Linked DNA regions of Caenorhabditis elegans. The protein of the gene in region 3 interacts with the protein of the main gene of each other region in a pairwise test. Each region holds a gene or a part of one and is shown on either strand. Other genes may lie near its edges.

What was found.
Region 1: the proteins of eps-8 (region 3) and zfp-3 interact in a two-hybrid assay, tested with the Caenorhabditis elegans proteins (3 studies listed by BioGRID).
Region 2: the proteins of eps-8 (region 3) and vab-19 interact in a two-hybrid assay, tested with the Caenorhabditis elegans proteins (one study listed by BioGRID).
Region 4: the proteins of eps-8 (region 3) and abl-1 interact in a two-hybrid assay, tested with the Caenorhabditis elegans proteins (2 studies listed by BioGRID).

Annotation. Positions count from the first base shown.
Region 1 is NC_003284.9:1,440,615-1,448,468, forward strand, and holds the start of zfp-3 (C3H1-type domain-containing protein), read right to left. Parts: upstream 6,030-7,854; 5' UTR 5,963-6,029; coding exon 5,875-5,962; coding exon of another isoform or gene 5,846-5,874; intron 4,403-5,845; coding exon 4,310-4,402; intron 4,263-4,309; coding exon of another isoform or gene 3,793-4,262; exon of another isoform or gene 2,782-3,792; coding exon of another isoform or gene 2,775-2,781; exon of another isoform or gene 2,703-2,774; coding exon 2,539-2,702; intron 2,022-2,538; coding exon 1,880-2,021; intron 1,829-1,879; coding exon 1,624-1,828; intron 1,563-1,623; coding exon 929-1,562; intron 746-928; coding exon 572-745; intron 518-571; coding exon 17-517; 3' UTR 1-16.
Region 2 is NC_003280.10:2,441,608-2,446,309, forward strand, and holds the start of vab-19 (ANK_REP_REGION domain-containing protein), read left to right. Parts: upstream 1-1,671; 5' UTR 1,672-1,684; coding exon 1,685-1,949; intron 1,950-2,250; coding exon 2,251-2,399; intron 2,400-2,497; coding exon 2,498-2,609; intron 2,610-2,659; coding exon 2,660-2,761; intron 2,762-3,294; coding exon 3,295-3,504; intron 3,505-3,704; coding exon 3,705-3,850; intron 3,851-3,899; coding exon 3,900-4,034; intron 4,035-4,621; coding exon 4,622-4,702.
Region 3 is NC_003282.8:14,877,882-14,882,578, forward strand, and holds the start of eps-8 (SH3 domain-containing protein), read left to right. Parts: upstream 1-1,681; coding exon 1,682-1,734; intron 1,735-1,788; exon of another isoform or gene 1,789-1,809; intron 1,810-1,947; exon of another isoform or gene 1,948-1,968; intron 1,969-2,160; exon of another isoform or gene 2,161-2,182; intron 2,183-2,380; exon of another isoform or gene 2,381-2,401; intron 2,402-2,485; exon of another isoform or gene 2,486-2,506; intron 2,507-2,725; exon of another isoform or gene 2,726-2,746; intron 2,747-2,875; exon of another isoform or gene 2,876-2,896; intron 2,897-2,970; exon of another isoform or gene 2,971-2,994; intron 2,995-3,047; exon of another isoform or gene 3,048-3,068; intron 3,069-3,200; exon of another isoform or gene 3,201-3,223; intron 3,224-3,455; exon of another isoform or gene 3,456-3,476; intron 3,477-3,678; exon of another isoform or gene 3,679-3,702; intron 3,703-3,768; exon of another isoform or gene 3,769-3,789; intron 3,790-3,912; exon of another isoform or gene 3,913-3,933; intron 3,934-4,697.
Region 4 is NC_003284.9:10,621,190-10,625,796, reverse strand, and holds the start of abl-1 (Tyrosine-protein kinase abl-1), read left to right. Parts: upstream 1-1,607; 5' UTR 1,608-1,650; coding exon 1,651-1,652; intron 1,653-1,762; coding exon 1,763-1,818; intron 1,819-3,089; exon of another isoform or gene 3,090-3,214; intron 3,215-4,607. UniProt on the Caenorhabditis elegans protein: Functions downstream of migratory protein mig-13 and is involved in Q neuroblast migration during larval development.

The DNA.
Region 1 (7,854 bases), on a different chromosome or scaffold from region 3:
TTTTTTTCTTCCGCCACTAAGCTTGGCTCATCTCATCGTGATCCGCTTGCTGATCAAAGCGAGAGCGGAACGTCCGGCGAGGTGGCTGCTCGTCAAATCGATTTCTCCTCGGTGGCCGTTGATCCATATCCTGGCCTGGAGCATCATCTTCTCCCTGTCTATCAAACCTACTGACACGGGCTCTCTTAGTCGGAACGGGATCCTGATACTGGGATCCATGTGCATTTGGGGATCCTAGATGACCGCCATCATCATTGTACGCTGGCTTCTGGTCGAATCTCGAGTTGTTCCGAGGAGCAAAGCCTCCACGAGCATATCGTGCTCCACGGAATCCTTCAGTGTCGCCAAATCGGCCACGGTTTCCGCCTGCATTGTCTCTAAAGTCGCGGTCGTGGTGGTTGTTGTAGTTGTTGCGATTGTTGTAGCCTCCACGGAATCCGCGGCCTCGGCCACCTCGGAAGTTGTCGTGGTGATGATTTGGACCGCGTGGTGGGAGCTCTGCCATCTTTTGACGTCTCTGAAAAAGAAATAAGTAAGAATGGAAAAAAAATAGCTTCAAACTGCCACTTACCATCTCCTCGTCATGAATAAATCTGCACTGATCTCCCCGATTACATCCACCCGGGCGGCTGATAAAGTAGACACATGGCTCTGGAATCTTCCAGCCGGATTGAGTCCATCCTTCCGAGTTGCGAGAGTCCTGGCGACGCTCCTGAGCCATCATCTCTGGAGTTGCAAATGTTGCCTGAAATTTTAGACTGTTGCTAATGTATAAATAAGGAGGACTTGGACCAGCGTCGTGTAAAAGTGGGCCGATACCGGGCCTGTCCCGTTTTTGAAGTAAGCTTCCATGGGCCCACACATTTTTAAAGCGGGTCGGACCATTTCAAGCAATTCCAGCCCGTTTTTAAAAGCGAAAAAAACTCACGACATATCCATCCATTGGATAATCTTGCGGCACTTCTTCACTTGCATACGTGTTCCCCTGCTGGAGCATCATCTGCTGAGCAGTCTGCATTGCAGCCGCCAGTGGATCAACCGGCGGTGGAGCTGAAGTCGTCGGCGAAGGAGTCTCATCCGACGAGACGAACCCCTTCTTCTTGAGCTGGTTGAGCATCTCCTTGAGGTTCGATGGAAGCTCGAATCTGCTGGCAGGCTGGGCTGCTGGAGCTGGCTCCGGGGTCTCCGGGACAGAGGTGGTGGCCGTGTAGTAGTTGGTGACCGGTTCCGTTTCCTGGAACACTTGCTGGATGTGTGGAGTCGGCGTCTGGTGGGCTGATTGCTGCTGCTGCTGCTGTGCGTACATCGGACGTCGAGGGTTCTCCGGGCGTTGGCTATGGTAGAGTGGCAACGTGTGGAATCCCTGGTTCGGCTTGACCTGAAGCAGCAAATCTTGTGGACGAACACGTGGCGGACGGCCCGGAAGTGGCAAATCGCGGATAGTGGCGAGAGTGGTGGGCTCCGATGGAACACTGACGGTTGGGATGATGGTCGGCGTGTAGTTGGCACGGTCGACAGCTGCCTGCTCGTTAAGCGCTGGGTTGTCCTCGAGTTGGCACATTCTGGAAACGCAAAAAATTTAAAAAATTTTTATTACAGGTCAATATATGCCTAAAAACTTACCCAAACATGGCCCCTCTCATAATTCCTTCCTCTTCGATACGTCTTTCTTCCCGTAGGCCCGACTCTGACATTTCACTGCGCGCCGGTTTGGACCGCTTCACCGGCACCAGCGACCACTCGACATCCTCAAAAACTTCCATCTCCTGGCCAAACGCGGCGGCCTCATTTCGCTCCGAACACCGATAGTCGGCAACATTCGAGTGGACTGAAAGAAGAGGCGCATTAGTTTTAGTGGTAGGCTCTAGTGGCGGCGTACTTGCTGCAATACGTTCAATTTCCTTAACATGCACCAGTGGAAGACCTCGCGTGTCGGCGAAGATGAGGCGACGGGTGCCACGCTGATTGAGGTTGGAGATAGCTGGACCACGGAGAATTCCACGGTTTGGCTTCTGAAAATACTTGAGGGCGATTAGTAATAGTTTTTGCTTGTTTTCAAGAAAGTAGCTGGATCAGAGCTTGCTTGTTCTAAAAAGCCATAATTTTGGGCTCGAAATTCATTTGTAGAATTTTTTTTCCGAACTGTCCAGTACCATGGACGAATTGGCGCGCAATTACACTCAATTTTAAAAGGTAAATTTTCCAAAATTCTAACACCGCCTCATTGAAGCAAATGCGCTCTACCGAAACTGAGCAAGTTTGGTTGTCAAATTCCCGTTGAACGATTTCTCAAAGAGCGGGATCAGAGCACGCTTGCTCCAATAAACCATAAATTTTGAGCTCGAAATTCATTTGTAGAATTTTTGCCCGAACTGTCCAGTACCAAGGCACACAACTCTGCTCAATTTTAAAAGATAAAATTTCAATTTTCCTAGCAGTCGGCGTTTCCAACAGTCTAGCACAGTCTCATTGAAAAAATGCAGATGCGCTCTACCGCCACAAAGCAATTTTAGTTGTCAAATTCCTTTTTTAACCTACCAATTTCAGTGCGGCAAGTCCCGCATCCTCTCCATCATCTGTGGCGTGTCGTTTTCCTGAATAAATCGCCGTCGGCACCGCTGCTGCTGCGGCAACTGCTTCCGGCTTCGGTTTTCGCTTCACAATCCGGATTCCTGGGTTGGATGGCGAGTAGGAGACTGAGCCTGAAAATATTGATTGGTATTATTGAGATTTTCTGGAATTTTGAAAAAAAAAATTAAAGTATTCAAACAAACTTGGCATCAAGACTGAAATGTGCTCTTTCTGAAACGGTATGGGTACGGGGCAGGGGAGACGGGGAAATGGGAACAATTTTGTAAAAGTTTTGAGGCGTTTTAAGGGGTTCCCATTCAAATTGCAAGAAAAAAATCAATAGCGCTAGATTACGTCACCTAGAAATTCCACGTGTTGAAACATCCGTCGAGGTATAAAATTGTCATTTTTTCGAGTTTATGAGCGTCTTTTATTCCGTGTTTTGAATTTTTATCCAAAAATTTTTATAGTCCAAACTTTTTCGCGGCAATCTTTTTATTGATTTCCTTATCAATTTTTTAAAGTAGCATCGTTTTTTTTCCAAAAAATTCCAATTTGTGCGCAATAACTCACAAGGCATATTCCACGGTTTATTCCAAAAATAGAGCGTACTTGTTCATTATTGTGAATTTAAGTTTTGGCCTACAAGGGGATACCAATAGGAAAATTATCTCACCGAGTTTTGCAATTTATCGATTTTTAAAAAATGTTTTGAGTAAAAACAAAAGAATCGTCGTAAAATTTAATACAAAAATTGACAACTGAAACGGCTCTTCATCGGAAACCTCGAAACATTTCAATTTGCAAGCAATTTTCTCTAAAACATTTCTACTAGTAGTAAGTACAGAAATCAGATTTTTGGGAGATCAAAATTTCAAGATTACAACGTTTTAAGCCACTACAAATTTGGAAAAGTCACATTTCTTTGCGAAAAATAAGTAAGTGTTCTTCAGAATTCATAACGCCTAACCTATCCGACTATTACAAAAATTCAGACCATAAATATTAATTTTTTACATTTTCTCAATCGCTGAGCATTCTAGACATTTTCAAAATTCTAGACATCCTTCAAAAATGATCTACTCAAACTTTTCTTTCAAATTCCCAATCAAAAATGTTCAATTTATCGATTTCCGCATTCAAAAACGTCCACGGGCGGCAATTTTTCCAAAATTTCAGCCCGTGCACTTCTGATGATTTTTCTGGAATTTCATATATCTTTCATATATATCTTCTCCGCCATTTTGCTCGGCTCTGCAAACGAAACCACTGTAGAATATTCCATATGAAGCTGAGAGCATCTGCAAAAAAACTCCGGACGCACAAAAAAATAGAAAAAAAGAAGAAATCAGAAACATAGAAAAAACATGGAGAACAACTTATTGGGGAGTCTGAAAAGTGATGGGGATTCACAATTGAGAAGAGGCTTCCATAAGAGTGACCATAGTTCCCGGGTATCCATAGTCTTTTTTTAATAATAAATCTCGGTTTTTGTCCGCTTTTAAAATTACATTTTCCCATTTTTCCAAGACCTTTCAAAATTTTGCTAAAGTTCTGGAGAGTTCTATAATTCATTAAAATGTGAATAGTCGTATCTACGCTACATAGAAATAGGGGCTGGGAAAGTGGGAATCGGCGGGTGGGAAGAGCACATCTCCATCTCATTCCCAAGTGTCGGAGCTTCCATGTACCTGAAATGTGATGTTAGGATACAAATTCTAAAGAGTTTTCCACCTACCTCCATATTTCTGCCGCGTTGTCTGATCCTCGGGCTTCACTGGAGTCGTCTTCGATGTGGATGGCGCGGTGAGTGGTGTCGGTACGTAGACTGCTGAAAATTTGAAATTTAAAATTGAATTTGAACTGCCTATTGGAAATTATTAGAATATATTCAAGGAAGATTCAAATTTTCTTGTATTTTTAGAGTATTTTTTATCTAGAATATCTGGAATCTAGCAGTTTCTTGAAAAAATATCCACCGAGAAAAATGTCGGAACGTAAGAAATATGTCCAGAAGTATAACAATTGTTCAAAAAATTCAAAAGCTATCAGATACATGGAACAAAATTTGCCAGATTGATTCCGGTCTACTCAAAAACTCGGTCAACTTCCAGAACTTACCCGTACTTGCCAAAAAAGCTCCAGTGAGTGAGCAAAAGTCTGCAGCTCTTACTGAAGATATAGAACTTCCCTAAAAATGCCAGAAATCTGCAGAAAGTTAACAGAAAGTATTCAAAAGCCTTCCACATTTTCTTCAAATCCCATAATTTTTCTAGACTTTTCCAAACTTCTAGAAATGTTTTCGAAAACTGTACAACCCTTCAGAACTTGGCACAACTTGCCAGATATTTTCCATGCATTCTTATGTCTTTGTGAACTTTGAATGAATTTGCCGTAATCTTGCCCGATCATCACAAAACTTCCAAAATTCTCCAAAAGACCTCAGATCTGTTCAGGACATTTCTGAAATATTAAAAGTAGTCGCAAGTTTCAATCTAGTTTCAAAAAGCACCATAGACCCCCAAAGTTTAAAACGAAAAATTCCAGCTGTACTAAAATAGTCGGATTCAATTTTTCCAGCATTCTACTAGAGGATAGAAAAAAAAATAGGCCACAGCTTCAGCATAGTCAGCAAGTTGTTCGAAATCAGGCCGTTATCACTTTGTAATAATTGTTTCCCTATCCCTTTTTCTCGCGGAACCAGGACACATCTTATCTTCTCTATAGAAAATACGTAGTCACTGTTCTCAACTTGAAATTAGGCCCAAAGAGGGAAAAAGAGAAGAGCGAGAGCCTATCCTAAATGACTTAAGCTTCTGAGCCTTGAAGTGAAAGCCTAATAATCCAAGAAACATAGCTGGTTCCTGCTAGGTAGAAGCTTGAAGTTTTCCTGCTGGTCCCATATAGCCAAAGTTGAAGTCCAAGTCCAAGTATCTTGACTTCTGGATTCTACTGCTCTCAGCACGTCAGAGGTGCTCCAAGATGCCGAGGGCACTTCAGAACCTGAAAATTCGTGTCCAAAGCCCGGTCATCCCTTTCTGGGTATCCGACCACATCTGGGGCATTTCTGTTCCTCACATTATTTTCCTTCATATTGTGCGGTTAAAACAGAACTCTTTATTTCAATTGTCTCTCTGAAAACGGTTTTTTCTTTTTCGCCAACCCGGAACTGTGTCACAAAGAAAAATGAAAGTGCTTGATATCAAGATTCGAGATCGAAGAAATAGGATGAAGTGGAGAAGAAAATAAGGAACTTGCAAATTAGAATTCAAATTCAAAAATAGTAGAATTCCGATGACTTACCCGGAGAGTCGATGGAGGTGTTCGGGGATCCCACTGCTGGCAGGAAGGCGCCGTCCATTGTCTTGGTCGGGGTGTAGACGTCGGCCATTGGAGACGGTGTTGGTGCGGAGTTGAGCTGCTGGCGGCTTCTGCTGCTTCTGCTTTGTGTAGATTTTCTGGAAATTTTGTAAGAGTTTAATTTGAAGAGAATATTAGTGAATTTAAAAAAAAAAGAGGAAAAATCAAAGAAAATTTTAATTTTAAAAAGTTGAGGGAAACTAGAAGAAAACCAGGAGAAAAAACTCGCCAAAATCAGCCTAATACATTTTCGAAACGCGCAATGTGTGCGGGAGAGTGTTTGTGTGAGCGTGCGTTTCCCTATCGATCGTAGACACAAGAGACCCCCGGCAGTCAAATAGTGAGGAAATATCCCGAGCAGGCAGCCAGAGAGTGGTTAGAGATCGCCCGCAGTCGACGAGAGAGTGCAGGTGGCGAGGGAAAAGAGGCACGAGACGACGAGAGCGTGTATCATGTGGGCTGTCGAATGCGACCACTTGGGTCCCTCACCGATGTCTGCATACACACTGACGACAAGTTGCGGAGCGTGTTTTTTGGAGAATAATGGTTAAATGCATATTGGATATTGATGGAAGTTCATGAATTTTGTGAGTTTTTAAAATTTCAAAGCAATTTTTTTTTTGAATTTGAAGCTCAGCCAACCAAAAACTTATATTTTGAGAAAAGTTTTCAATCGAAAGACCATTCCAGAACAGTTTCACCAGAACAGATTCTAACGACTTTTCATGCAATACTAAAAACTAAAAAAGTTGATAAAAGTTTGTCGATGCACCATGATTTTTGCAATTGCTTCAGGAATTTTCAAATGAAACATAAATTTTTACAGATTCCTTTTTGGCTGGGAGCAGATTGTCAAAAAATCGATAAGACTACAGAAAATCAGTGGAGTTCAGGAAAAATAATTGGTTTTTGAAAATTATTTCTAGCTACATATAAGGGAAAGTATTCGACAGACAGGCTACCCGTAAAGACATAAAGCAGGAGTTAAATGGAATTGTGAGGAAAATTGTCAAACGTGCCAATTTGTTGAAAATCACAGAAATCGATGCACTATGATGTTAGCTTACAGAAACTTGAACCGAGTTTACATGAATTTTTTGGTGAAACAGAAATTTTTTCACTATCCTAGTCAACTGGAAGAATACTGTCGTTTTGAATAAATCATTTAAAAATGCCGTTTGAAAATAATCGAATCCAGACAAAAGTCTTCGATTTTGAGCATTTCTCACAAAAAAGTCCATTTTAGAGATTCTATGAATTAGGTTTACTATTTTGAAATTCACAAACTTTGATGAACCATGATGTTTGCTCTTAAATACGTGGACTAGTTTGTCAGAATCGTTTTACAGAAGGAACCTCTCGGATAAAAGAAAATTGTCAAGATAACGTGGAAGTTGCAGGGAACTACCAGATGTCAGGGAAAATTATTTTGAAGGGACTCAATTGACAATTAGTGCATGAAGGCAGACAATACAGGACTCGAATGATACTTTAAGAGAAATTAAAAAAATGTCGATGCACCATGATGCTAGCTTCCACAAATTTGAACCGCGTTTAACAGAAATTTTTGCAATTTGCTTGCCGGATAAAAGAAGATGAAAAACTTCTAGAAACGCCTGAAAACACTTAAATTGGAATCAAAATCCTGGAATTTTCGAACATTTTTCACAAAAAATCATTTCTTTGGCAATATCCTAGAATAATTTTCTGGAAATTAAGTGATTTAATAACCAATTTTTGATATAAAATTATTTATTTAGAGAAACTTTTCTTCTTTAGTAGCAGTTTTGTATGTAATCTTAAAAAAATGACAGTGAACAGTTGTAAATGAGCAATTCTAAACTGAACGTTCTAGTGTTCAGCATTAAAATTAAAACTTTAGCGTGAAATTTTGATATCCTACAAAAGTTTGCTACTTGTAAA
Region 2 (4,702 bases), on a different chromosome or scaffold from region 3:
GAATGGCGCAGTGGGATTTCGGATTTTGGCTCGACTCACAAGGCCGGGGTTCGACCCCCCGCTAGGGTCAAATATTTTTATTTTTTTCTAATTGGTCTTTTTAAGTCTTTTAAACCATCAGACTTACGAAAAAAAATCGATTTTCCTCGTATTTTTCTGCAGTTTTTAGTTTTCCTCAATTCATCCTTACTCCACTACTTTGATCCGCATTCTCCGCTTTCTTGTGTAGAATTTCCGGTTCAATCTCTTCCATGGAATGATGAATGACCCAATATCACAGATATAATCACTAAATTAACCTCCCATCACTTTATCACCACCCATCTTGTGATAAGGGTAGAGAAATTCTTTGTGTTGCGTATTTTTACCCGAAAATTGGCAATATTTTTACAGAATTTCTGCAGTTTTGCTGGGTTTCATTAATTCTGTTTACATTTTCATTCACAAAACGACAAAACAAAAATATTAGACCCTTGTGGGAATCGAACCCCGGTCTTGCGCGTGGAGCCGAAGTCCAAAATCCCACTGCGCCACTCGGACACTTTTTAGAAAAATGCTCAAAATCACTGATTTTTTTTGTTGTTAAATTTTGGGTTTTAGACGATTTTAGTCCAGTTTTTAGTTTTGTATCAAATTTTAACAGAAGAAAACCGAAATTTCTCGGATTTTTCCGCCGAAATGTAAATTTCCATTTTTCTTTTCCACCCTAAAATATACAAATGTAATAATAATTTTTGCATAATGAGTGAGACAAACCACACCCTTATCATCAGAATAGTCGTCCTTCACTACGTGTCTGCGTCTCTCTCCCTCTCGTCTCATGTCTCTTTTTCTCATTTTGGCGCCGCGCCTTCTATCAATCAAGTTGAATTGACGACGAGATGATTTCATTGTAAGGAGGGGGTAAAGAAAGAACGTATCTTTTTCTCTCCAAGGAATATTTTTTTTTCACATTTTTAGGCGCCAAGTTTTACCCGAAAATTGTAGTTTTCCCGCTTAATTTGAATATTTTCCGGTTTATCGGCGAGATTTTTTAATTGAAAATGTGAAAATCGTACTTAGAACGTTGAGAAATTCAAATTTGCCTTTTGAAATTTTGAAATTCGGTTATTTTTGAGCATTTTCCAAAAAAATGTCCGAGTGGCGCAGTGGGATTTTGGTTTTTGACTCCACGCACAATACCTGGGTTCGATTCCCGGTGGAGGACAATTTTTTTTGTTTTGTTGATGTGTAATGTAGAAACCATTTTTGAATTGGAAAATCACTTTCGGGCAACTTTTCCTGAGTTTTTTTAAAACTTTTTAAAAATTATTTTTGAAAAAAATGTTTTATAGTCCACTTTTTTCCCTAACTTACAGTTTTAGAGAGTTTTAAACTATGAAAATTGCAATTTAACTTTGAATCTTCAAAAAAATTGGATTTTGGAGCATTTTTCTGAAAAGTGTCCCAATGGCGCAGTGGGATTATGGCTGCACCCACAAGACCGGGGTTCGATCCCCCGCTGGGTCAAAATTTTTTGTTAAGTTTTATTATTAAAAAAAACATACTCCCATCATCAAATTAATGTCTTTTCTTCAAATTTTCAAATTTTTCTCTTATTTTCTACTCCGATTTTTGCTACTTCTTCCATTCCCCCCCCCCCCCCCCCCAAAAAAATTTAAAATTTTTCAGGTAACCATCACAAATGCGTGATATTGGCGGAAGTATGTCTTCCGCCTCAACGTCTGCCACAATTGTCAAGCGGAGCCCGCCAAACGACACTTCCACGTCATCAGGGGTCTCGTGTGACGTGTCACCGAACTCAATGACGTCACCATCTTCTGGAAGCGACCAAAATCAGAATAATAACTCGTTGAACAAGTGCAAATGTTGTCCATATGGATATCATATCGATTTGGGATTCGTTTCCTACGCACAGAATGTTAGCAATGGATTTGTGTCGAGACAAGGTGAGGTTTTTTGCGAAAACTCTAAAAAGTGGTAGAAAACGTGAAATTTGTTATTCAAAACTATTTTAAACAAATTTAAAATAGTTTAAAACCTATATTTCTGTTTAAAAATTGGAAAAATCGGGTAATTTTGAGCTATTTTGAGAAAAGCGGCCAAATGGCGCAGTGGGATTTTGGATTTTGGCCCCACGCACATGACCAGGGTTCGATCCCGGCTAGGGTCGAATAATTTTTTCTAAGTCTTTTTAGTTTGAAAATCAGTCTGAAACATTGAAAAATTGCCCATTAAGTACTTTTCCAGGCACCCCGACAAATATGACACTACGTGGCAATGGAGCAGACCGACATTTGATGTCCCCACTGCTGGATAACAGTATTTTCAGCGACTCCTTGGATAATTTGATGAGCGATTTTGATGATGTTCTGGCACCACACAAGGAGGTGGAGAAGGTGAGCTTGAAAAAATTTAAAACCGCGACGCGACCGCAACGCGACAATAAAAAATTATCAGAATTTCAAAAAGTTAGTTGCAAATTCCAAATTTTCAGAAAAAAACGGTCCAAGACATCAGAAGCCGAATGCAAGGAGGCTACAACTCGGACTACACCACATATCGCAGAGGACCACCGGAAATTCCCAGAAGAGCACATTTTGAGCAAGGTTTGCACTTTTTCTGAGCTCCAAACTGAATTTTTTTTTACATTTTTCAGCTAAACCACCTCCGCTAAGCCGTCCGATCAATTTAGGGTTTAGTGGAAGCAGAAGTAACACGCCAACTCAGAGATTTAATGCTCCAAATGGCACTGGAAATGGTGAGGTTTTTGAAAAACAATTTTTAGATGGATATAACAATGCAAAAAAATTTGGCCAGAGCCCGGGGTCGAACTTGCCACTTTTTTCTGCGATTGGGCACCAGCCATCTGTGTTAACCACTGCGCCACTTCTACCCAGTTTAAAATTGCGATTATCTCGAAAACCGTGATAGCTAGCGAAAAATTTTCAACTGCAAAAATGATCAGCGTAAAATTTCCTTTCGAACAAATTGTTGAAATTTTCAAAACTTGAGAAAATGTTTGATCTGGCAAAAGTTACATTTTCCGTAACAAAAAAGTTGTTTCCAGTATACTTAGGCTCTACAAAAATTATTCTCCACTACCCGGACTTGAACTTGGCACTTTTTGCACCGATTGATTCCCAGGCATCTGTGTTAGCCACTGCGCCACTTCCACCCAATATCATTTTTCAATTATCTCGAAAACCGTGATAGCTAGAGAAAAGCTTCCAACTGCAAAAATGCTCAGAATAAAATTTTCTATCTTATCACTTTAACTATAGAAAATTTCAGGCTACTCCACCGCGCTTGCCAAGACAATCTCCGAGATCCGGGCTCGCAACGCCGAGTCGCCATTCCCAGACAGTCGTGTCGGGACCCCAATTGACTTGGGACTTCATCAACAAAATAATGGACACGTGACGCCGTCAAGATTCGCTAATAATCGATATGATGACCTACCTCCGACGCCTACGCCTACCTTTAGAAGGGCTCCGTCTCAAGGTAAATTAAGAGGCTGAACATTGAAATTTATCTCTGGAATTAAAAAAAACAATTATCTTTGAAATGTATATTTTAAAAAATTTCAAAAAACTCAAATTTAAAAAAAATGCCCAAATGGCGCAGTGCGATTTTGGGTGTCATCTGAGCAAAGGGTCATGGGTTCGACCCCGGCAGTGGCTAAACATTTTTTATTGTTTTAGGTGACTTGCCACGTGGATTCTCCACCGCCCCCTCAACAGGTCCCGGGGACTTTGCAAGCCTCCGGCGTGGCAGAGAATTTGCTCTTCCACCCGAGCAAGAGCACCACTCGAGACGGTTTTTCTCAGCGTCGCCAAAGTTGCCGAGGGTAGGTTTTGCAGAAAAATTGAGGAAAAACTTATGTAAAAAGTTTACAGCGTGGACTTCAAGCCGGGCCATCAATCGATGTTGAAAGCCATTTCACATATGCACAAACTCAAAACGGGCAGAAAGTGCTTGCAAGGACACAATCCACAAGCACTTCACCACCGCCACAAGCTCCTGCTTCAGCGGTAAGATTTTTTTTTTCAAAAAAAAATTCAAAATTCCTCACTTAATAATGGTTTGAAAAAAATTCTGTAACAATTTGGCATTGAAAAAAATGTAAAAAATGTTTGCCGTAGCCCGGCCTCGAACTTGGCACTTCTTGCACGTATTGAGTCCCAGCCATCCGTGTTAGCCACTGCGCCACTTCTACCCTAATTTAAAATGCGGTTATCTCGAAAACCGTGATAGCTGGAGAAAAGCTTCCAACTGCAAAAAGGATCAGCGTAAAATTTTCTATATATTAATTTTTTGAAAATTGTAGAATTTCCAACTATTTCAAAAATTTATTAACAATTGTTAAAATTGTGTGAAAATCTGTTCCCAGCTTGATTTCAGTATGCAAAAAAGTTTTGTTAAAGCCCGACCTTGAACTGAGCACTTTTTGCACCGATTGAGTCCCAGGCATCCATGTTAGCCACTGCGCCACTTTCACCCAGTTTTAAATTGCGATTATCTCAAAAACCGTGATAGCTAGGAAAAAAATTCCAACTGCAAAAATTATCAGCATTAATTTTTCTACAAAACTGTATTATAAAACTTTGAAAAATTCCAGTTCGAACCAGTAAAACCCCTGTCAAATGGAAGCCCAAGTCCAACACATCAGGTTCAAAAGCCAATTGTCACCAGATCGATT
Region 3 (4,697 bases):
TCCCACCTTTTCAATCGACAGTTTTTTTGCTGTTTCGGTTTCTACTGGATACACGCCTTTGGGGCGTGGAAATAGAAGAAGATGGATGGATTTTGGAGGAAAAGTTGAAGGAAAACTAGAGAATGCTGGGGCCCGGATACTTATTATTTCTTTGATTCGATTTTCTTTACTTTTTCCCCAGTTACAACAGATTTTGGAAAATTTCACGAAATTCAATTTTCTTTTGTTTCTTTGGATGTTTTTAAAAAGGGATTTTGTAGTTTGAAAACTTGAAAGCTTACAGAAAATTTTATGAAAATTTGCATTAAATTTTCTGCAGTTTCACACTCTTTATTTCAGCGTTATAGGGGTTTTTGCAACATTGCTTCAATTTCAATTTTTCCTATTGCTAAATATAGAAAAAAAAGCGGTGGCGAATTCTTTATGAAATTGTCTAAAATCCATCTTGTATACGTTTCAAAAAAAATTATGCTGTTTCAAAAATGTAACTTGTTAGCACAGAATATACGGTTTTCGTTCAGATTCGTTTTCAATCTCAATTTTCAAAATCTTCAGTTGAAGAAGTTATCTTTTTCTGTTTTTTCTTCGTAAATCTGAAAAATAATCACTGCTTCAAGTTATTTACGATTTTTAATTGATTTTGAAATCTAACTCAATTACTTTAATTAATTCTGTCATGTTAATACATCTACAAAAATAAATCTTACTCCTATATTTTTCATTCAATTTCAGATCTGATTGACTTGATTTTCAAGAGTATAGCTATTGCTAGAATTTTTAGTTGTTTTTAAATTTATCATTGATTTTCCGAGTATTGTTTTATTCACTAAAATTTCCAGATTCACAAAAGTTTTTAGTGAAAAATAAATCAGTGAATTGAAAATGTTTTAATTTAAAATTCAGATTTTTCTCTCAATTTCTCACTCTAGCCGCTTTAATGTTCTCTTCTCTCAATCTTTTTGTTAATTTTTTGAAACAAATTATCACTGTTTCAAGTTTTTTTAAAAATAATTAATCAATTTTCAATTTTAATTTTCACATAAATTGCTTTCGCTTTCATGATGTTATTTTCAAAACAATATTTTTCACTATTTTCATTTGTTATATAAAACATGGTAAAACTTCCCATTATACTCTCTTTTTGCTTTCTTAACTCTAGTTTCCAAATTAAAATTAAAAAATTGTTTCTAAACTTCAATTATATTTTCCTAAAACTTTCCACGAAAATTAAAATTCATTAGAATTTCTTACAGTTACGAAAAAGGAGCCAAACTTTGAGATTTGAATTCAAGTTTTCCACTTTATAATTAAAAATGAAAATTTCTTCCTTATTGTAACATATCATTTCGTTAATTTTTTAAACCAAAACTTTAAAATTTTCCTGTTTCACGTTGTTTATAAGAAACATTGATTTTTTAAAAACATTGCTCGGTGGATTTTCTGAGTCTTTTTCAAAAAATAAAACAAAACTTTTCTCATGTTTTTATTGGTTTTCAAAATGTCATATATTTTTTACTTTTCCAATTCCAACTACAATTTTTCGAAAACCCAATGCTTCAATTTTTCTTCCATAACTTTAAAGTTAAATTAAATTTGATTTTATTTCAGCCAGTCAAATGCCATTTGCTTAAAAAGCGAGGAAATTTATCATCAGTGAAGAAGTGTAAAACATCTATTAAAAATGATGCGTCGAGGTGGATCGATGGGTCCACCGAGCGGGGATCCATATCAGAGGTTAGTATATTGTTTTATGAAAATAATTTAAACACAAATACAAGGCAAATTTGATTACATATTGAGATAGTCAAATTTTACAATTGAAATAAAGTTTTTAAAGCTTTAAACTTGTTTTGTATTGAAAATCCAAGTATTTGATAATTACTCCCAAAATTGTGTCAATTTTCTAAAAATTGCTGACAATCTAAAAGGTGTGAGACGAATTAACTCAACAAACTAAGGAAAGCAGAACTAGAAAATATTTGAACTTTTTTTTGAAATAGAAGTTATGAAACGGTAATTTTTGCGAAATTTTTTAACCTAAAATTTAACTTCAACGTATTTGAAAATCCATTACTGCAAATAAATTTTGAGACTGAAATATTTCTCAAAAATTGACTATTTCGCAATAGATGTTAAATGAAATTTAATAAGTCACCAGAATTTCAAACAGGATGAAAATGAAAAAAAAACAGCTTCAAACATTTTTGTTGAAGTAATTTTTTTAAATCTAAATTGCTTCCAGCGACTTTTTAGAGCTGTTTTCTGTATGTTGATGGCTCGTAATACCCTAAAATTCATTTTTTTTCAAATAGAAAAAAAAATCGAAAATATCGCTGTTTCAAAGAAATGTTATATTTTCAAAGTTTTATCAATGAATTGTTCTGCTGACCTTTTTATTATGAGAAGATCAAATTAAATCATTTATCAAATTGAAGTCGATCCCCTATGAAAGTTCGACTAAACTGACTTCAAACCGCTTTTTAAACCGAAAATTGCAACATTCTTACTGAGTCAATAAAAATTAGAAAAATTAAATGAAGATGCTGAAACTGTAGAGTGTTTCAATTTTCGGTTTAAAAAGTGGGTTGAAGTCAGTTTAGTCGAACTTTCATAGGGGGTGGAATCCTTTAATCAGAAAATTTTAAACTGGATGAAAGAAGAAGTAAAAACAAACAAATAACTGCTTCAGATTCATGTTATTTAATTTCTGAATTTACTTTTCCGTTAAAGAATTTACTTTAAACTTTTTTTTTAGCAAATTAAAAATAATCTTTAAAAATCTAAATCTTGAAAAAGGAAAAAAAAAATGTGAATATCAAAATTTTGACCGTTTCACATTGTTTTTTTTTAATATTGACATTTTCTGGTAGCATAATATCAACAGAAGAATATTACTTGTTAATAAAAAAATATTAAGAAAATTAACTATTTCGCTTTCCTTATAAATATTCGTTATCAGATTTTATAAATTAGTAAGCTCTCGGAATTTTCTTAAATTTTCAGTTTTAAAGTCAAAACGACTTCCTTAATGTTCTAGAATAACTCAATCAATTAATTAACCAATTAATCCGTTGAAATGTCCCAGTTCGACAGGATTTATTGAATTTTCGAAATGAAGTTGATTAATTAGTTTTCAAGATGAATATCTTATTTCTCTGTTTCACCACCACACCTCTTTGGGTGTGGTTTTGGAAACTTATTTGGAATGTGAACGATTTTCCTAATGCCAATGAACTTTTTGCATTTTTTAAATTAGTTTTTTGAAACAGTGATTTTTTGTGAAGTCGTTTAATTGTAAGTTTTCAATATTAAACACCTTAAAAGTTAATTTATTGCGAAACCCCCTATAATAATGATTAGAATATTTCAAAAGTTGATTTTGAATTACTCTGATAATGCGTTTGAAATAATTTTTTCTGTTGAAACTAATTTGTTTTTTATGGTTTCCCTGTCTTCTGCATTTTTTTGAAAGCACATCATTGATAAAATGTTTCTAAAGTTTTATATTAAACATTTGGAACCGTGAAAAATTTTAAAACAACTCCAATATAGCTAACTTTTTTACATGTGCTTGTTTTTTGGAACAGTTTATTTTTTGTGCAAATTTTTAAGTATAATATTTTCAACATTTTACCATGTTTCAATGTAGTATTAAATTTTACCTCCACCATAAAAAATTATTGATTTCAATCTTATTGGTACATAACTCAAATGTTGAAAAAAAAATTTGTTGCACAATTGGAACTGTTTCAGAATTTCCCTACTTTCAAGAACAATTTTTTTTGGATATCGCAGTGTCCAAGTTTTCGAAAATTTTAGTCAGAAACCTGAAACTGTATCAATTTAAGCAATTAAAGTAAATTTAAAAACAATTATTGTATTCTTAAAAACCTGAAAATTGAATTGTTTAAAAGTGTAATTCACTGGAATTCATCAATATTCAAACTTTTCACATATTATGTAGCAAAGTGAAAACAGTAGAATTTTTAAAAAATTTAGAAAAGTCCTATACATTTTCAAGTTGCGATCAAAAATGGAACAAAAAGAAGCTGTTAAGTTTTGCTTATTCAGTCAAACTGTTACTATAAAATATAAAATTCAAAAGTTCAAGAAAATCATTTAGATATGTAACCAAATAATATTCGACTAATTTCTAATGAAAATACCTACCTAAAATCTAAAATCGTAATCACGGTTTCACAGAATATTATTTGGTTACATATCTAAATGATTTTCTTGAACTTTTGAATTTTATGTTTTATAGTAACAGTTTGACTGAATAAGCAAAACTTAACAGCTTCTTTTTGTTCCATTTTTGATCGCAACTTGAAAATGTATAGGACTTTTCTAAATTTTTTAAAAATCTTTGTGAAAAATGCGACTCTCTCTTAAAAAATTCTCTGTTTTTGTATCAGGGGTGTGCGGCAAATTTGCCGATTTGCCGAAAATTGCCGACTTGCCGAGCTCGGCAAATTTGCCGATTTGCCAAATTCGGCAAATTTAAAAAAACCAGCAATTGCCGATTTGTCGAGCACGGCAAATTTCAAAAAAGTAGATTTGCCGAATTTGCCGAGCTCGGCAAATTTCGAAATTTGCCGCACACGTCAAAAATTTTACAGTACAATTTTGACTAAAATTATTGATTTTTTCGCCAAAAATTTAGTAAAATGACACAAAATTGAGTTAGTTTTATGCTT
Region 4 (4,607 bases), on a different chromosome or scaffold from region 3:
TTTAAATAAAAATAGGATGGGAGAAATTTTAGTAGACTTAATATGTAAATGTGAAAGAATTTTAGTAGACTTAATATGTAAATGTGTAATTTCCAACAATTAAACGAGGAGAAAAGACGAAAAATAAAAAAAATTATCGAAAATAGAACACTTTGTCACCATCAAAATCACTAACACTAGCAAAATAGCACAGTTTCATAGTCATATTACATATGCATGTTATAACAACAAACCTATTTTCATCTTTTGAAAACCCTACACACAATTCCACTTTTTTATGGAGAAATACAACCACATATAATCTTTTGATTTCAAAAAGTTATTTGTAATTGCCAAGCATTCATTACTTGGAGATCACGTTTTCCAAAACATCTTCGTCAGCAATTATTAAAACTTGGGAGTTTTTTTAAAGAATTATTGTATGCATTAGAGTGCGTTCTTATTGAGTGTTTCAAGTATGGAATTTGTTCTCAATTAACAAATTATTCTTAAACACACAATTTAAAATTAGTGCTTCATGTACAATTATATAGTCCGTGAAACAATGCAAATCTCCAAAAATTTTTAAACTTATTTAAAACTTGATAGGTACTTTTCAGCATATTTTAGTCTAAGGAGCCCTTTTATTGTTTTCAAAATAGTAGGACAGCAATTTTCTAATGAGTTAGAATTCACTCAACCAACCCTCAGAGGCATACCGTACTGTTTCTTCAAAATTTTGATTCTTTTAGTTTTGATTTCCATTTAAAAAATGCGTCAATCTGAATACTACCTATTGTTCAACTTTTCTATTTCAAACTGCATTCCCATACTCTTTCGTCGCTCCAATTTTTATGGGACAAAATTGGCGGGGGTTTTGAGTACCTCCTGGCCTCTCGTCCCATTCTTTGTGATCACACTTTTTGTTTCATTTCACACTTCATCCCCACACTTTCAACCGATACGAATTCGTATCGCAGATTTGTATAAAACATAGCGAAAAAGGAACGGCGACAAGTTTTGATTGGTTTTACAATGCAAAACTTTTTTGTTTATTAATATGTATGGTCTTGTCAATAATTGTTAGATTTTAGATTTGTAATTGACAATTTGTTAATTGGTTTAAAACTATGGTTTTTGCGAATACACAAATATCCGAATAGCATAACTTTTTTTTAATTATTAAATCACCACAATTTTGTAAAACAACTAAAAACTAATTATATCCAGTTTAAACATTATCCATTCATTTCGTATGCATATAAGTTCAATCAGTTCAAAGTATTTGTAGTCTCTACTCCGCGTTTCCAATCTCCTCTAGCTTAGTACTATTTATCTGACAGGAACTGTTGTTATTGTTTGACTAGCGAATAGGCGTTAGTGTTGAACCAAGTGCGCAGTAATAAGCAGTGAACAACGAGTGAGAAGTATGCAAGCGCGCTCTGCTGGTCACTGGATGGGTTATGAGAAAAGAGAGGGCAGCCGGGTACTCGACACATACCTTCACACCAATTGCGCGTCCTTTCTTTTTTCCTCCATGTTCTTTTTTTTTTGTCTTCTTCGATTTTTTCTTTTTATTTCTTTTTTTTAATTCAAGCCAAACTTCATAATTTTCAGGCTTTTCTAACTTTGAAAACATCAAAACATTCTCCCATGTAGGACTTAACAAAAATGTGAGTTCAGTTCATTTCATAATTCTTCTCAAAAACTATAAGGCCATGGTATTTTGTTTATTTTAATTTTACGAACAACATATACTAATAAAGAAGAAAATGTTTTTCAGGGGTCATTCACATAGTACTGGGAAAGAAATCAATGACAATGAACTCTTCACATGTGGTAAGCATTTTGCGCTTGAAAATTGTGAAAATTACTTTTCAACTAAAAACAAATATAATTTCAACATTTGAGTTTGGCATTGGATTTCAAAAAAAAAATTGAATGGTATAATTTCATACCATTTGGAAAAATTCAGCCTTGAAAAATATTAACTTGACGAAACTAATGAATATTTGTTGATTCAAAAGTTTTCCTAAAAAAATGATTATTGTTTGAAACTCATTAAAAAAGTACTGATAAAGTTTACGATTGTTTCTGAAGTATCAGCTTTTGTTTTTCTATTTTTCAAAAAAAGGAAGCTGCTCTCAGTTTTGAAAGAAAATAAGGCGAAATTGTAAAATAAATTATACGTAAAGTATTATAAAACTAATATTTTGTAATTTCTCAGTTTCTCAAAAAAAAAAAGTTCATGTTAAAACATGAAAAACAGTATGTTAAGTTTTATGTATTGTTTTTAACGTTCCTTCTACTTTTCGATGAATTGTCACAATCTCATTCGAAATTGTCTGCCCACAATAAGGCCCTTCGAGTGTAGATGACAGATTCAGAACCGCTCTTAATGCTTTATGCGGTTAGGTTCTCTAATCCTCCAAGTGTTCGGTTCCCTTCGTATTCCCGTTCGCTGTAGATATATGCCGGAGAGGGTGTGGGGAGGGTGAGAGATCCTCTTCTAAAGTCACAAGTAAACGAGACGCGGAAGAAAACGAGAGTAGAGATAGTAATAGCTGGTATGGTGGATTGAAAGAGAGCATGAGTGGAAGACGGGACGCAGACAAACCAAGAGGTCACATCTCCCTTCCCTCGTCCGTCAACTCCCGGTCCCTAGTTTGAGGACAACGCATGCGTGATCCAAATATGGGAGACTATCCAATCAAGTGTATCTTCTCTACTCATCTAGAATAATTAGATCATAATTTTTTACAAACTACAATATTTATAAAATTATACACTTTTAAAAGGTTTAGGCATAATTTATTTGGGAAAGGAAGTTTGGAAGAATAGAAAAAAATGGAATAAATCCAGTTCCTCTCCCCTTTCCCGCTTTGCCGCCTCCCGGCAAAACGTCGCTTCTCCAACTTGTTATTCCAATTCAATAGGTTTCAATGCCATATTCGCAGTTATAAATGCTCGACCCCTATTGACTATTCGCATTTTATTCACTTCACTCCAGTTTTAACTAGATTTACCATTTCCCCCCATCTTTTTTCTCCCTGGGTCAGAGAAGCAGCTGGACTTGTGTTAGTAGTACGACGAATCGCCCTTCTTCTCGTTGACCAATTAGAAAATGTGCTCTGGCACATTTTCCTTTCTGTGTGGGACTGAGAACCACGGGGGACACCCAACCTCCTGTTCTTCATTCTTTCTATCCAATTTTTATGATGGATTTGGTGCGACGCGTATACAATGAATATAAACGTTCGCAAGTCCACACCCATTTTTACAATTCCCTAGACATTGACACGGCATGTGACAATATTGAATAGTTTTGCTAATTTTGTGTTACTCTCGAAGAAACGGCATTGTCTCTGCTTTTTTTGTTATCTGAAAAAATAAAATCAGTTAGGTGTTTCAGTAGAATTTTCAAAAATAATTTACATCAGACAAACCGAGCTGAACAACCAAAATATATCCTAAATCAGATTTGACGAAGTTCAGATCATTGATCTTTTTCATAACGTGATTAAACACAAAACTATAAAAGTTTTATGAAATAGAAAAGAGAATACTAATTTTAAAATCTTCCGGTTCCGGATTTGTGTATGTGTTTGCTTATCAAATCACAGTTCTTACATGTATTTTTTAAGTGAAAAATCTATTAGGTCTCCAAATAAGTTCCGGGTCAAAAATCATAACTTTGTTCTCTGTGTATCGATTTTTATGAAACTTTGGGAATTCATGTTATCAACAATGATCTTTCATTTGACATCAGTCACAAAATTTTTTGTCCACCCCAAGTGTCCTAACTCGGAGCCAATTTTTTCAGGCATTTTTCCTATCTCGCTTCTAAAAGAAGACCTTTGAATTGAGGTTTGTGTGCGGATTTCGCCTTGCTTAAAATACATTATTAGAAAACGACAAAATTTTAGAAAAAAATCCGTCCAAAAAATTTTTTTTTGGTTGGTCGTCAAAAAATGTTCAAAAAAAATTTTGTCGAAAGTTCTAGATTTTCCCTACAAAAATGATGTAAACAAGCGTGAACTATTTTTACACATACAAAACATATCAATTTATTTCGATACACCAAAATGTTAATAGAAAATATAATTTTTTCGGATAATTTTTGAGTTTTTTGAATATTTCTCGAGATTCAAATTTCAAACTAAAACGATTATTATATATTTAAAAAAAATTTTTTGGACGGATTTTTTTCTAAACTTTTGTCGTTTTCTAATAATGTATTTTAAGCAAAGCAAAATCCGCACACAAACCTCAATTCAAAGGTTAAAAGAAGCGAGATAGGAAAAATTCCTGGAAAAATTGGCTCCGAGTTAGGACACTTGAGGTGTACAAAAATTTTTGCGACTATTGTCAAATGAAAGAACATGGTTGATAACATAAATTCCCAAAGTTTCATAAAAATCGATACACAGCGAACAAAGTTATGATTTTTGACCCGGAACTTATTTGGAGACCTAATATAAACCTCGTTTCGAAGTTTTGAAAATTGTATACCGTATTTCTTCTATTAATATGACTGCAATACTATTGTTCGATGGTCTTCCCGCTTGCAATACTAATAGGGAGTGCAAGACTATTAGGGAGTGCAATATTAATTTTCAGAAAATTTT